Struthio camelus: one gene and its partners. The protein of the gene in region 2 purifies or fractionates together with the protein of the main gene of each other region. This does not show direct contact. Links are inferred from orthologs where the notes say so. Each region holds a gene or a part of one and is shown on either strand. Other genes may lie near its edges. The genes, in order: MAP1S, STK3 and RASSF6.

The links.
Region 1: the proteins of STK3 (region 2) and MAP1S purify together in Homo sapiens (affinity purification with mass spectrometry; 3 studies listed by BioGRID and IntAct, with this or other methods). This does not show direct contact. The link is inferred for Struthio camelus from reciprocal best matches to the Homo sapiens genes STK3 and MAP1S.
Region 3: the proteins of STK3 (region 2) and RASSF6 purify together in Homo sapiens (affinity purification with mass spectrometry; 4 studies listed by BioGRID and IntAct, counting the BioPlex papers as one, with this or other methods). This does not show direct contact. The link is inferred for Struthio camelus from reciprocal best matches to the Homo sapiens genes STK3 and RASSF6.

The regions. Positions count from the first base shown.
Region 1 is NC_090967.1:6,689,578-6,693,320, reverse strand, and holds the start of MAP1S (microtubule-associated protein 1S), read left to right. Parts: upstream 1-1,112; 5' UTR 1,113-1,694; coding exon 1,695-1,785; intron 1,786-1,909; exon of another isoform or gene 1,910-2,032; coding exon of another isoform or gene 2,033-2,069; intron 2,070-2,974; coding exon 2,975-3,076; intron 3,077-3,743. UniProt on the Homo sapiens protein: Microtubule-associated protein that mediates aggregation of mitochondria resulting in cell death and genomic destruction (MAGD). Plays a role in anchoring the microtubule organizing center to the centrosomes. Binds to DNA. Plays a role in apoptosis.
Region 2 is NC_090943.1:147,191,324-147,195,066, forward strand, and holds the start of STK3 (serine/threonine-protein kinase 3), read left to right. Parts: upstream 1-974; 5' UTR 975-1,119; coding exon 1,120-1,142; intron 1,143-1,182; exon of another isoform or gene 1,183-1,201; intron 1,202-1,363; exon of another isoform or gene 1,364-1,469; intron 1,470-1,626; exon of another isoform or gene 1,627-2,960; intron 2,961-3,743. UniProt on the Homo sapiens protein: Stress-activated, pro-apoptotic kinase which, following caspase-cleavage, enters the nucleus and induces chromatin condensation followed by internucleosomal DNA fragmentation.
Region 3 is NC_090945.1:7,927,266-7,931,008, reverse strand, and holds the start of RASSF6 (ras association domain-containing protein 6), read left to right. Parts: upstream 1-857; 5' UTR 858-917; intron 918-3,743. Other genes in the region: MTHFD2L (bifunctional methylenetetrahydrofolate dehydrogenase/cyclohydrolase 2, mitochondrial), read right to left, coding at 715-857.

The DNA of each region.
Region 1 (3,743 bases), on a different chromosome or scaffold from region 2:
GCTGGGGTCCCCAGGATCTGCCCCGTCTCCTGCCCCAGATCCCTAGGATCTTCCCCCCTGGATCCTGGGGTCCTGCTCACTGGGGTCCCCAGGATCTGCCCCGTCTCCTGCCCCAGATCCCTAGGATCTTCCCCCCTGGATCCTGGGGTCCTGCTCACTGGGGTCCCCAGGATCTGCCCCGTCTCCTGCCCCAGATCCCTAGGATCTTCCCCCCTGGATCCTGGGGTCCTGCTCGCTGGGGTCCCCAGGATCTGCCCCATCTCCTGCCCCAGATCCCTAGGATCTGTCCCCCTGGATCCCAGGGTCCTGCCCCCCCCAACCCATGAGATCTCCCCCTACCTCCTGCCCCAGCCCCCCTGGAGCTGGTCCCCCAGGATCTGCCTCGGATCCCTGGGATCTGCCCCCTCTGCTGCCCCAAAGCCTGGGGACCTGCTCCCCCAACCTGCCCCATGGGATGTATCCCCCCCTCCCCGGCCCCTGGGATCTGTCCCCCGGGCTCCCAGGCCGGGGACCCGTGGGAGTTGCCCCCTCCCCTCGTCGACACCCGGGAGCTGCCCTGGGGCAGCCGCAGGGACGGGGATGCTGTGCTGGTTTGTGCTGGTCTGCGCTGGTTTGCAGCCGGAGCGATGCTCGGCTTGCCCAGGGGCTGTGCCCTGGGGAGCCCCTTCCTGCCCCTGCAGCCGTCCTCGCTTCCTGGCTGCAACTGGGAGGCCAGAGCAGCTCCCCTAAACCGTGGGGAAACGTGTCCCTGGGGCAGTGCCGTTCTGGCCCTCGTGGGAGCCCGCACCCAGCGGGGCTGGGAGCTCCTCGGGGCCGCCAGTGTCTCCGGTACCTCGCGAGGACGAGGCCAAACCTCGCCAGCCCTGGGAAGGCCCAAAGCTTGGCAGGAGGCAGCACTGCCTGGGAAACGGTCTGGAAAACGCCCGGCCGCGCCGGGCCGGAGCCCCAACGTTCGCCCAGCACGTTGCGCAAAGCGCGTGACGCTCTGCGTCGACCCCCTAGTGCCGATGCCCTGGTGCCTCTTACGCCATCGCCCTTGGGTTTGTGGGACCGTTAACCGCTGGGCGGGCTGGGGAGGAAGGGAGGGGGGGATGGCTGCAGGCGGGCTCGGTCGGCCAACGCGCCGGCGGTGCCGGTGGCTGAGCTCCCGGTGAATCCCCGCACGAAGAGCCCGGCTCTGTGGCAGAGCCCCACGAGGGTGGCTGGTGTTTTGGGGCCAGGATCCCTGAGTGTTTGCAGCTGGTGCGTTGTCCCGTGGTGGCGAGGGACTTCCAGACCCCTGCCCTGGGAGCAGGGAGAGGTGCCCGCATGAAGGAGGAGCGAACCTGCGCCAGGTATTCGCCGTCTGACGGGAGCTGGAGGTGTACGGAGGCTTGTGCGGCGCTCCGAGTCCTCCAGCGCAGCTAATTCTCATAATTACCGTCTTTAAAGAGGTGCAGGGAAAGGTGCTGCTGTAGCCCCAGGGGCCGGTGTTTCGCTGGCAGAGCCCGTGCGGCCGTGAGTCACCGTGCAAGGTGCACGCCTCGGGGGAGCCAGCCACACACCTGCGCGGGCGAGCGCCGGGGAGCGGGTGCTGCTCTGCCTCCCCGGGGAGAGGGGCTGGTGGCTCCGTGCCGAGGGTCTCCACGTGCCCGTGCTTGCAGGCTCGGGCAGGCCAGCCCCACACCGGGGAGGATGTTACTCAGCTGCACGCAATGGGTCGGCAACGCAGCCGCGTATCTGGGAGTTGCCTGAGGAAGCGCTGGGGGTCCTGCGGGCTGTGCCTAACCGCGCCGGGAGCTGCAGGTTTGCCAGCCTTGTGATCCCTCCAGTTGCCCATGGATTTCGGCGCTGGGCGTGCTCTCGGGGCAGGTGCTGCCCCAGCTCGGAGTTTATTTGGCGTTTGCGGTGTTGCTGCAGATGTTCCTGCTGGGGTCTGGCTTGGCAGCGGGCTACGTCTCCGGGACCCCCCGGGGAGGTGACGTCAGCCTCGTGCCGGGGGTCGCAGTGCAGTTCCTATCTCCCCACCCCACTGCATCCTGCTAGGGTTTGGATGGCAGCGAGGAGTCTGGAAACCTGCTGGGCCTGGGGTCGGTGCTGGGGTCTCCCTGGTGCTGGCTGGGGTCCTGCTGCGGGGTGGCGCGAGCGTGGCCGGTGCTCGCCTGGGCCGGGAGCATGGCCCTGGGGAAGGCTGAGGGCTGCCAGCGTTAATGGGAGGCTGCAGACTGACTCACAGCCTGGAAACCGGTGTGAGAGGCGCCTGGGGACCCGTTCGCTCCAGCTGAACGCAGCTCGGCCAAAGCAGTCCGGGGCCCAGCCCGCGCTGCGAGTCAGCGTGTGGCTGCGAGGAGCAGGAGGCCCCGGGCCTGGGTCTGGCCCTCCTGCAGCCGCGGAGAGGTTGAAGCAGCTCTGCTCCCTCCTGTGAAAAGGCCTCACAGGTCCCCATGCTGGCCAGTGGCATTGGCCTGACGCGGCCCCTGCTCTTGTCCCCCAGGCTCAGGGCAAGGTGGGGGGGAATGAGGGCAGACGTGGGGGGCGGTCCCCAGCATGGCTGGGTGGGGAGTGCGGCGCTGACTGCAGGAGCTGCAGCGGCTGCTCAGCATCCCCGGCTCAGCCGGATTCCCTGGGTCTTACATAAGCCGGTGCCATGCCAGGGATTAGGGAGGTGGTGATGCGAGGCAGGCCTGGCCCCCGAGCGTGCTGCGGCACGGGGAGGGGGCTGCTGCCACGGGGCATGGTGCCTCCCGGCATTTCTGCAGTCAGTGCTAGGGCTGGGTGCTCGCTGTCACTTGTGGCATGCTGAAACTGGGCACTGATGGCACCTGGTGATGGAGACGATGGGTGCTAACGTGTCCTGGGGTGCAGCAGTGGCTCAGGGTGCTGGAGGGCAGCTGGGCATTGGGAGCCCTCTGGCAGGCATGGGTGCCTCGTGCCTCCCACGTGCCCTGGGGCTGACCTTGCACCCAGGGCTGATCCTTCCTGCCCTGTCTTGCAGGTATCCGCTCCTGGGACATCGACCTCACAGCCTGCAACCTGGATGAACAGCTAAAGCTCTTTGTGTCCCGCCACTCAGCCACCTTCTCCAGCATCGTGAAAGGTGAGTCTGGGAGCAGGGGTGAACCCCTGCCTCCCCTGGCTGGGGCTGAGCCCTTGGAGCCTGCTGGAGATGGCACCCCGCAGCCCCAGGTGCAGCTGGCTCGCTAAGGACACTGGCTGGTGCTTTCTCTGTCGCAGAGTGAGCGTGGGCTGGAGCACGCGTCTGCAGGGTCCTCGCCTGACCCGGTGGCTGTGTTTAATTCATGCATCTCCAGAGGGGACGGGGTGCGAGTGAGGCAACTGCAGCACTGCCGCAAGCCGGGGTCTTGCACTCGCTGACTGCTGTTTGCTGAGCTGGGCAAACATTTAGCTGTGTCTATAAAACAGCTTTTGTGCTGAGCTAGTTGTGTGCTCCCTCCCTGACGCTGTCCCAGGCCTCAGGGCAGGTCCTGGCTGAGGGCTGGGGGAGCTGCTCGTGCCTGGCCGGGCTGCCTGTGTCCCTTGCCGCTCCTCCAAGTGGGGCTGGCTCTCACCTATGTGGGGAGCTGGGGTGTCCCCCAGGGCAGGCCAGGGCTGCCCTGGGGATGCAGCAGTGTCTGCGGGGCTGTCTGCTCCCACTCTCGTCTCGTGGGCTGGGGTGGCTCCGGCTGTGTCGCGGAGAAAGGACAGCTTGTTCCAGCGCGGCGTGGGAACTGACCGTGCTGGGACGCCGCGGGGGTGCCTGTGGG
Region 2 (3,743 bases):
AACGTTTAAGCTTTTCTTGTATTGACTTGACTGGGTCTACTTGGATGCTCTGCAAGTTAGCATCTGAACTCACGATGTAAACAGCATGAGATTTAAAGCTGTAATGGGGAGAGATTGCAGATAACTGTCACACAGTACTCAGCAGCCTAAACCCTCTTGAATAATTACATAATTGCTTCCTACAGTTTCGTAGGATAACTCATATGCTTCGGCATTAAAAACAGTCGACTGCCAGCGTTACTCATCTCCAAGCCGTGCTGTGAGCCGGGAGCCAGCCTCGGAAAGCGGCTCCCGCTCCCTGCGGGACTGACTACGGCCTTCCTGCCCCCTCTGCTCGGGAGCCGCTTGCCCATAGAAGAAAGGATATAACTTCCTGAGGGGGGGGGGGTGGAAGCAGCTTCGCGCCGGCCTGCGGCTGCCCCTCGGCCGCAACCCTGTCCGCTTGCGCAGATGAGGAAGAAAAGCACAGGCTGCCGGCTGCCCGGAGCCGGGCGGTGAGGCGACTGCGCTGGGGTGGGGGGGACACGGCCGTCCCTCGCCCCCCGGCTTTCCGGCCCGGCTCTCGGTTTGGCCTGGTCGGGCCGGGCCGGCCCCTCCTGCCGCCCCTCCGCGGAGGCCGTGGGGAAGACTACGTCTCCCGGCGCGCCCCGCGGGGCACCGCCGCGCGGAGCATGCCGGGAGCGCGGGGCCTCGGGCCGGCATGCGCCGCCGCCTGCATGTCGGTTCCCCCCTCCCGCGGGCGCCATGCCGCCCGCTACTTCCCGTGAGGCGCACCCTCCCTCCCCGGCCCCGTGGTGGGCGGAGTCTCGGTCTCCTGCTGGCTGCCATGCTGGGTGACTTCCTTCCCAGCCAATCAGCATTTGTTATGGTACGGTTTGTAACCAATGAGAGGGGCGAGAGGGCGGGCCCCCACCGGCAGGCGGGTAGGCAGCGGTAGTGGCGTTTGGCTGAGAAGCCGGGAGCGGCCGCGGCCGAGGGAGGGCGCGAGCCCCACTTAAAGGGCCAGCGAGTTTGGCGGAAAGTTGCGCGGAGTTCCGCGGGCCCAGCCCGCCGCTGGCCAGGGCCGTCCGCGAGCCGCGCCGGGCGGCGGCGGGGGCGCCGGGAGCCGGCGGCACCATCATGGAGCAGGCAGCGCCCAAAAGGTAACGACCCTCGCGTGCCGCTCCTGCCCCTCCCGGAAGCGAGCGCGGCGGTACCGTCGGTACGGGGCGGGGGGGAGGCGGCCGGGCGCGGCCTTGGCCCGGCGCGGGGCCCGGCGGGAGCGGAGCCCTGGGCGCTGGGAGGGGGCGTGGTGCGCGGGCAGGGCCGGCGGCGGCGGCGGCGCGGGCCCCGCTCGGCCCCTCGGCGGGCTGGGGCGCGGGGACAATGGGGGCGCGGCGGCTGCGCGGCGTCCCGTCGTTGTAGCGGGCTCTGGGCCGCGGAGGGGCGGCCCGGCTGCCGCCGCGGGCCGCGGCGGTGCTCCGCACCGGGTAACTGCTAGCGCGCGGTAGCGCTCCCGAAATCGTCGTCCTGAGTACGCGTCCGAGCGACCCTCGGGGGATGCGAGCGCTGACTTGAGTTAGAAGAGGAAAACTTTAACGGGGAGTGAGTGAGCCTGGAGCTAGAGAGCGGCCCTTTTCGGCCTTAAAGTCTGCGTGCTATTTCATAGTTCAGGTCTAAGGGAGAAACCAGTAGAAGCAGTTCACGTCTTCCTGCGTTAGAAAGTGCCCTTCTGTCTTGCTGGTAGAGAGGTGTTTGTGGGGGTGGGAGTTGCATACTTGCAGTTGCAAATCAGGGAGTGGGAAGAGGCAAAACCGAGTTTCTTTCCCCCAGTGTATGCGTTGCTGTTTGGAATAACCATTCTTAGTAATCGGTCATGTTTTGGGATATTTAGAATATGAGTCTTTCTCAGGGCAAGAAAAAGTTTTTGCTTCTGAGTTTAAGCAGTGATGTGAACCCCTGAGCTTTTGCTTTAAAAATAGCACTGTGGTCTTCATACACAAAACTATTCTTCTTTAATTACATGGATAAACTTAAACTGGAAGAGTCCTTTCTTAGATGTAGTTAGATAGTATACTGAAAGTAGTTATATAGCATACATGTGTTCTTACCACTTTAGAACTCTAAAGAGTTCTAAATTCTTGCTTCCTGTTAATTTAGTGAAAAATCTAGAAACTGCACGGTATAAATTTATGCTGGAAGATAATAAATCCATTTTTACTTCCTACTTTATTTCTTGTGTCTTAATCTTTGGCTCCTGATTTGCAAGCCTGGTAGTGTGGCAACGACAGAAGCTGCATTGTGGTCAATATGAGAATAAAATTTTGTCTTCTCCAAGTTGAACATGTGAGAGAAGACACCTAGTATATGTTTAATTTGCCTTAAGGACTGATGATGAGCTTTATAATGTTTGGCCCTGTTTTGTTTTCAGTGTATTGAAGCTCCTAGCCCTGAGAGGGACATGCTGACCCCAATACATTGAGGAACATGGGTGGTAAAGAAATGCACGAGATAATTTTTAATTTGGAGATAAACGCAATGTGGAAGGAGCTAGATGAGATTCTATTGATAAATTCCATTTTTGCAAATGAACTCATGCTGGTGTTATTGACAATATTTCTTGCCAATATACTTTCTGCAGTCTTTGTTGACCTAGTTATGAGACTTTGAGAAGTACTGGCTTTAGCAGTCTTTTGCTTTTTGAACTATTTGACCGTTTTGGATATGTTTATCTTAGGCTTCTCAAGCTTTTCTTTGCCATTATGACAGCTAGAAACTGTCTTTGAAAATGAAGACTCATACTGTTTTCTGGTAGATACTGGCTCCTGTTTTTATGCTGAGGAGGACAGTAGATACTGCAGTGTTGCAGAAGAACTGCAAGAAGTAGTAAAATTTGAAGGACAACAGCCCTGATTTTCTTCTTGGTGAATATAACTATTAAACTATCTGTTTCCAGCCAACTAAATTTACCAGTGTTTAAGGTAAGGGAAAAGCAAGCAGAGACAGTATCGCTATTTAAAGCATTGAGGCTGCCTTTCTCTACCTCACTTGTAGTGAGAGAGCATGCTACTGCCAAGAGAGACAGTGCTGCAAAGTGGATTGTATTTTAGGCTTTTCTATATTCTTCTTTCTTTATATTTATTATTTATATAATTAATATTTATTCTATATTTAGGTTTTTCTTTATTCTTCTCCTCTGGACCTCACCTCTGGGCTTCTTTACTAACTAAGTTCTTCTAACTTTAACTACTAACTTCTTTACTGTGAGGGTGACGGAGCACTGGAACAGTATACAGCCTGCACCGTGTATCCCTTTTGTCTATTGTCTTTTGCAGTTTTTGAAGTGTTTTGTGGTGTTGCCAACTATTCTGCTAGGCTACATGCTTGTTCTACAAGTCTGGAAAGAATGCAGATTATTTTGTGAGTGATCTTTTTTTTTTTTTTTTTTTTTGGTCTAAGTACCTGCCATGGGTGCTGTGGTGCAAGAGAAGCACCATGTTTACCTGGCAAAATAGATATGATCATCAGATTTCTTTACTTACTGTGTCTTCTATCTACAGGATCAATTACTGAGAGGGACCTATATATGTCATATATATATATGGTGTATATATAGCATAAGATGCTTATTTAGAGGTAGCAAGAGTTTCAGATGAACGCTTCAAAGCTCCATAAGATCCTGGAATCCCAAAGTTCTTGTACTTGATAGAACACTTTTATTTCTCCTTCCTCTCTGAAGGAACATACCACTGATGCCAATGGAC
Region 3 (3,743 bases), on a different chromosome or scaffold from region 2:
TCCAGGGCGACCGTTAAACGGCCGCGGCGCGCGAGAGTGAGGAGGGGTCGCCTCAGGCGCTCGCGGGCTTCCAGGGCGACCGTTAAACGGCCGCGGCGCGTGAGGGTGGTGGTGGGGAGGTCGCCTCAGGCGCTCGCGGGCTTCCAGGGCGACCGTTAAACGGCCGCGGCGCGTGAGGGTGGGGGGGGGGAGGTCGTCTCAGGCGCTCGCGGGCTTCCAGGGCGACCGTTAAACGGCCGCAGCGCGCGAGAGTGAGGAGGGGTCGCCTCAGGCGCTCGCGGGCTTCCAGGGCGACCGTTAAACGGCCGCGGCGCGTGAGGGTGGGGGGGGGGGGGAGGTCGTCTCAGGCGCTCGCGAGCTTCCAGGGCGACCGTTAAACGGCCGCGGCGCGTGCGGGTGGGGGGGGGGAGGTCGTCTCAGGCGCTCGCGGGCTTCCAGGGCGACCGTTAAACGGCCGCAGCGCGCGAGAGTGAGGAGGGGTCGCCTCAGGCGCTCGCGGGCTTCCAGGGCGACCGTTAAACGGCCGCGGCGCGTGAGGGTGGGGGGGGGGGAGGTCGTCTCAGGCGCTCGCGAGCTTCCAGGGCGACCGTTAAACGGCCGCGGGCCGCCCCGCGCGCTCGGCTCGCCACTCCCGAAAGGGTGCTGCCTGCCGTGCCGGGAAGAGGAGGAGGAGGAGGAGGAGAGAGGATGCAAATGCTCCGAGGTGTCGCGTACCTGGCGGCGCTGCGCGGGGAGCTGCTGGTGCCGTAGGCGGCTTCAGGCGCTGGGCGCGAGAGGACTCGCCACCTCCTCAGCGGCAGCAAGCCAGAGCGGAGCACACAGGAGGAGGAAGAGGAGAAGGAGGCTGCTGCCGCCATTTCGGTCTCGCCGAGCGGAAGCGCCGGCGCGCCAGCTGAGCGACGAAGGGAGGAGCCAAGGCAAGCAGCGAGCCCGGGGCCGCGCCGGGGAGGGCAGGGCAGGGGCGGCGCGGCGCGGCGCGGCGAGGAGGTGTCTGGCGGGCAGCGCGATGGCCCCGGCGTTGCCGGGTAGCGGGAGTTGCCGCTGGTCGCCGTGACAGAGGCGGCGAGCCTCAGGGGCATGATGAACACACCTTACAGCAAAATTCAAACTGCGCGGCCAGGGAAGGCGAACCTGTGGGTTTGCGTGCTGGAAGGGTGAGCAGCACGGCTCCCTCCGGGCTACGCTGCAGTGTTTTGTGGAATTGTGGCGGGAACTTCTGCAAGTGATGTCCCTGGGCGGGAAGGCTGGCAAGGCTTTCGGGCCAGTCGTCTCTGCATTGGCATCCTTTGAGCCATGTGAACTTCAGTTCCCGCTAAAACGTGGTATGGGCAAATCCGATGCCTAGTGAGCGTTACAGAGGAAAGCATCAGTGCGCTTCGTGATTTTCAGCCCTATCTCCTTGTTTTCCCAGTGGATGTCTCGTCCCCTTCCTTGCAGCGCACTTATTGCTGCTTTCTGTCTTATTTTACGCTAGATTTTTGACTATGTGCAAAGGAGGAAAGAAAACAAAATGAAGTCTAAAATAACATGTACAAAACACGCCAAAGTAAAAATGGCAACCTCATCTGCAATATTGAAGCTACTAACAATTAGTAAATTCCTTTTTGAAGCTCGTGAATGCTTTCCGAAGATACAGTGGATTATTGAAACTGCAGTTTTTACTATGGCAATTTTTTGAGCAATTCACTGTTCATATAAGGAACATGGTTTAGGTGCGTCCACAGACAGCATGTGTAGTGTTTTTTTAAATCATTTTTCCATCTAGAATCTTACTATCTTCCATTATTGTGGATCCTACATATATTGTCCCCTTTCACTTGCCATCTCTTATTTTATGAACAGTAGCAACACTAAACTTCATGCACTCTCTGGTATTGACTATCTATCTTAATTGTAAAGCCTTATTAAAAAGGATATTTACCCAAGATTTATTGACACAGCTGTATACACTGTCCCTTCCTTTCTTGATTATTTCTTACTAGTATCCTGTTTCAAGAAAACTGAATGTGTGAGGACCTAGGAAGTCCCATAAAAATTGAGGGTCCCGAAACAGATAAATCTTTAAGATAGAACAAAGATGTATCTTTAATTTTTAATCTCTCTTATCCAGCATCTAAAGAACTGGAGGTGATGGATATAAATTGAATATTTAAGCTCATTTATAAAAAATTGTCCATATGTTGAGTATCTTTCTTTTTAGGACTGGTATTGATATTGATGTTGCCGTAAAAACAGAGACATTTAAATGTGGCTAGATTTAACTTTTCGTTAAATCAAAGTTGTTATCTCTAGTACATTAACTAGTGCTTTACTTAGTCTAATAGTTAGCACTCCAAATGAGACTATGCCTATATAGAAACAATAATTTAATAAAAGTTACCTGTCTTTTATTATACTGATCTTAACTCACTATTTTTAAGCTAATGCATATATCTATATCCTATATCTGATCTTCCATTTAGAGCAAAAAGTTAGAATGGTTACAAAGCTAAAGGGGAAAATGAGACATTGTTCTTTATCTATAAGCAGCTTCACGCTATGACTCCAAATCATCAGTATTTCTTTAGCTGTTGTACGCTGCCTGGGATCACAGATCCTCAAGCTAAATGCTGACACTTTAAATGCCAGTATTAAGTGTTCTGTTAATTCTTATTCTCATACTAATCACTTTGGCAGATGAGATGGGAAAAGGAATGAAAGTAACCTTAAAAGACCTTAAAAGTAGGGTAGTTGAAGGAGAAATATATCATGAACAGATGGTAAGACAGATTAAAAGAAAGAAAATTTTGAAGACAATCACGGAAAACGGGATGAGGAGATGAAAAAAATAACAGCAGTCCTAAAAGTTAGAGTTACAGAGAATAAATTTCTGTCAAAATTTTTCTTTTCTTTAGGATGACACTTCTGCAAAATTTCTCCAGTCATTTTTTATACGACGTGTATACTTGGCTGCAAAACTTCGAATTGCTGTTGCTGGAGTTTTCCACAAAATGTCCACCAAATTCTTTTCTGGCAAATCAGTGCATCAGAAAAAGCAGTTGTTTTATAAATGTTTCTGATAAAATTTGATATACCAATTGTGACTTGAGAACTGCTTTATTTCAAAAGTACATCGGTTATGAACTGACAAATACAGCCAAGCATACTCTTCCATTCAGTGATGCTAAGCTCAACAGAAAGGCATAGTTACCCATTATCTTTTAGGCAAACGTTACCTTTACTATTAGTAGGACTCCTGCTATTCATACTGACCACTACAGACAAATAAAAATAGGTTGTTCCTTTTCTATAGTATGAGGAAGAAACCTTTTTTTATGCCAATCTTGTAATTGTCTTCTAGCAACCCTCCATTTTCTATGATTCTTGTTTGTTCAGACAGAGAACAAATTGAGACTATTTTTAACATACGTTATTTTTATTAGTTAAACTCATAAAGAGCTAAGGAAGCAAAGGGAAGCAAGTGGGTTACATGACAGTTATACACTGTTTATATACCGCTCAATAATGTAAGTTTTTTTCAAGCAGAGATAATCAGACCATATTAAGAGTTACCAATGTCTTATCACAGGTAGTGATTTTATCAAAGTTATTTTCTCAATAGAGAATAGAAATCAATACCAGGAATAAAAAAATGAATCCTGTGTTGGTAGGCACTGTTTAGCACCTAATTGTTTGCTGTATTTGGTATGTTCTAAAAAGCCTAGTAGGGATGCACTGAATCTTCGAAGCTCCCAATGTGTAGG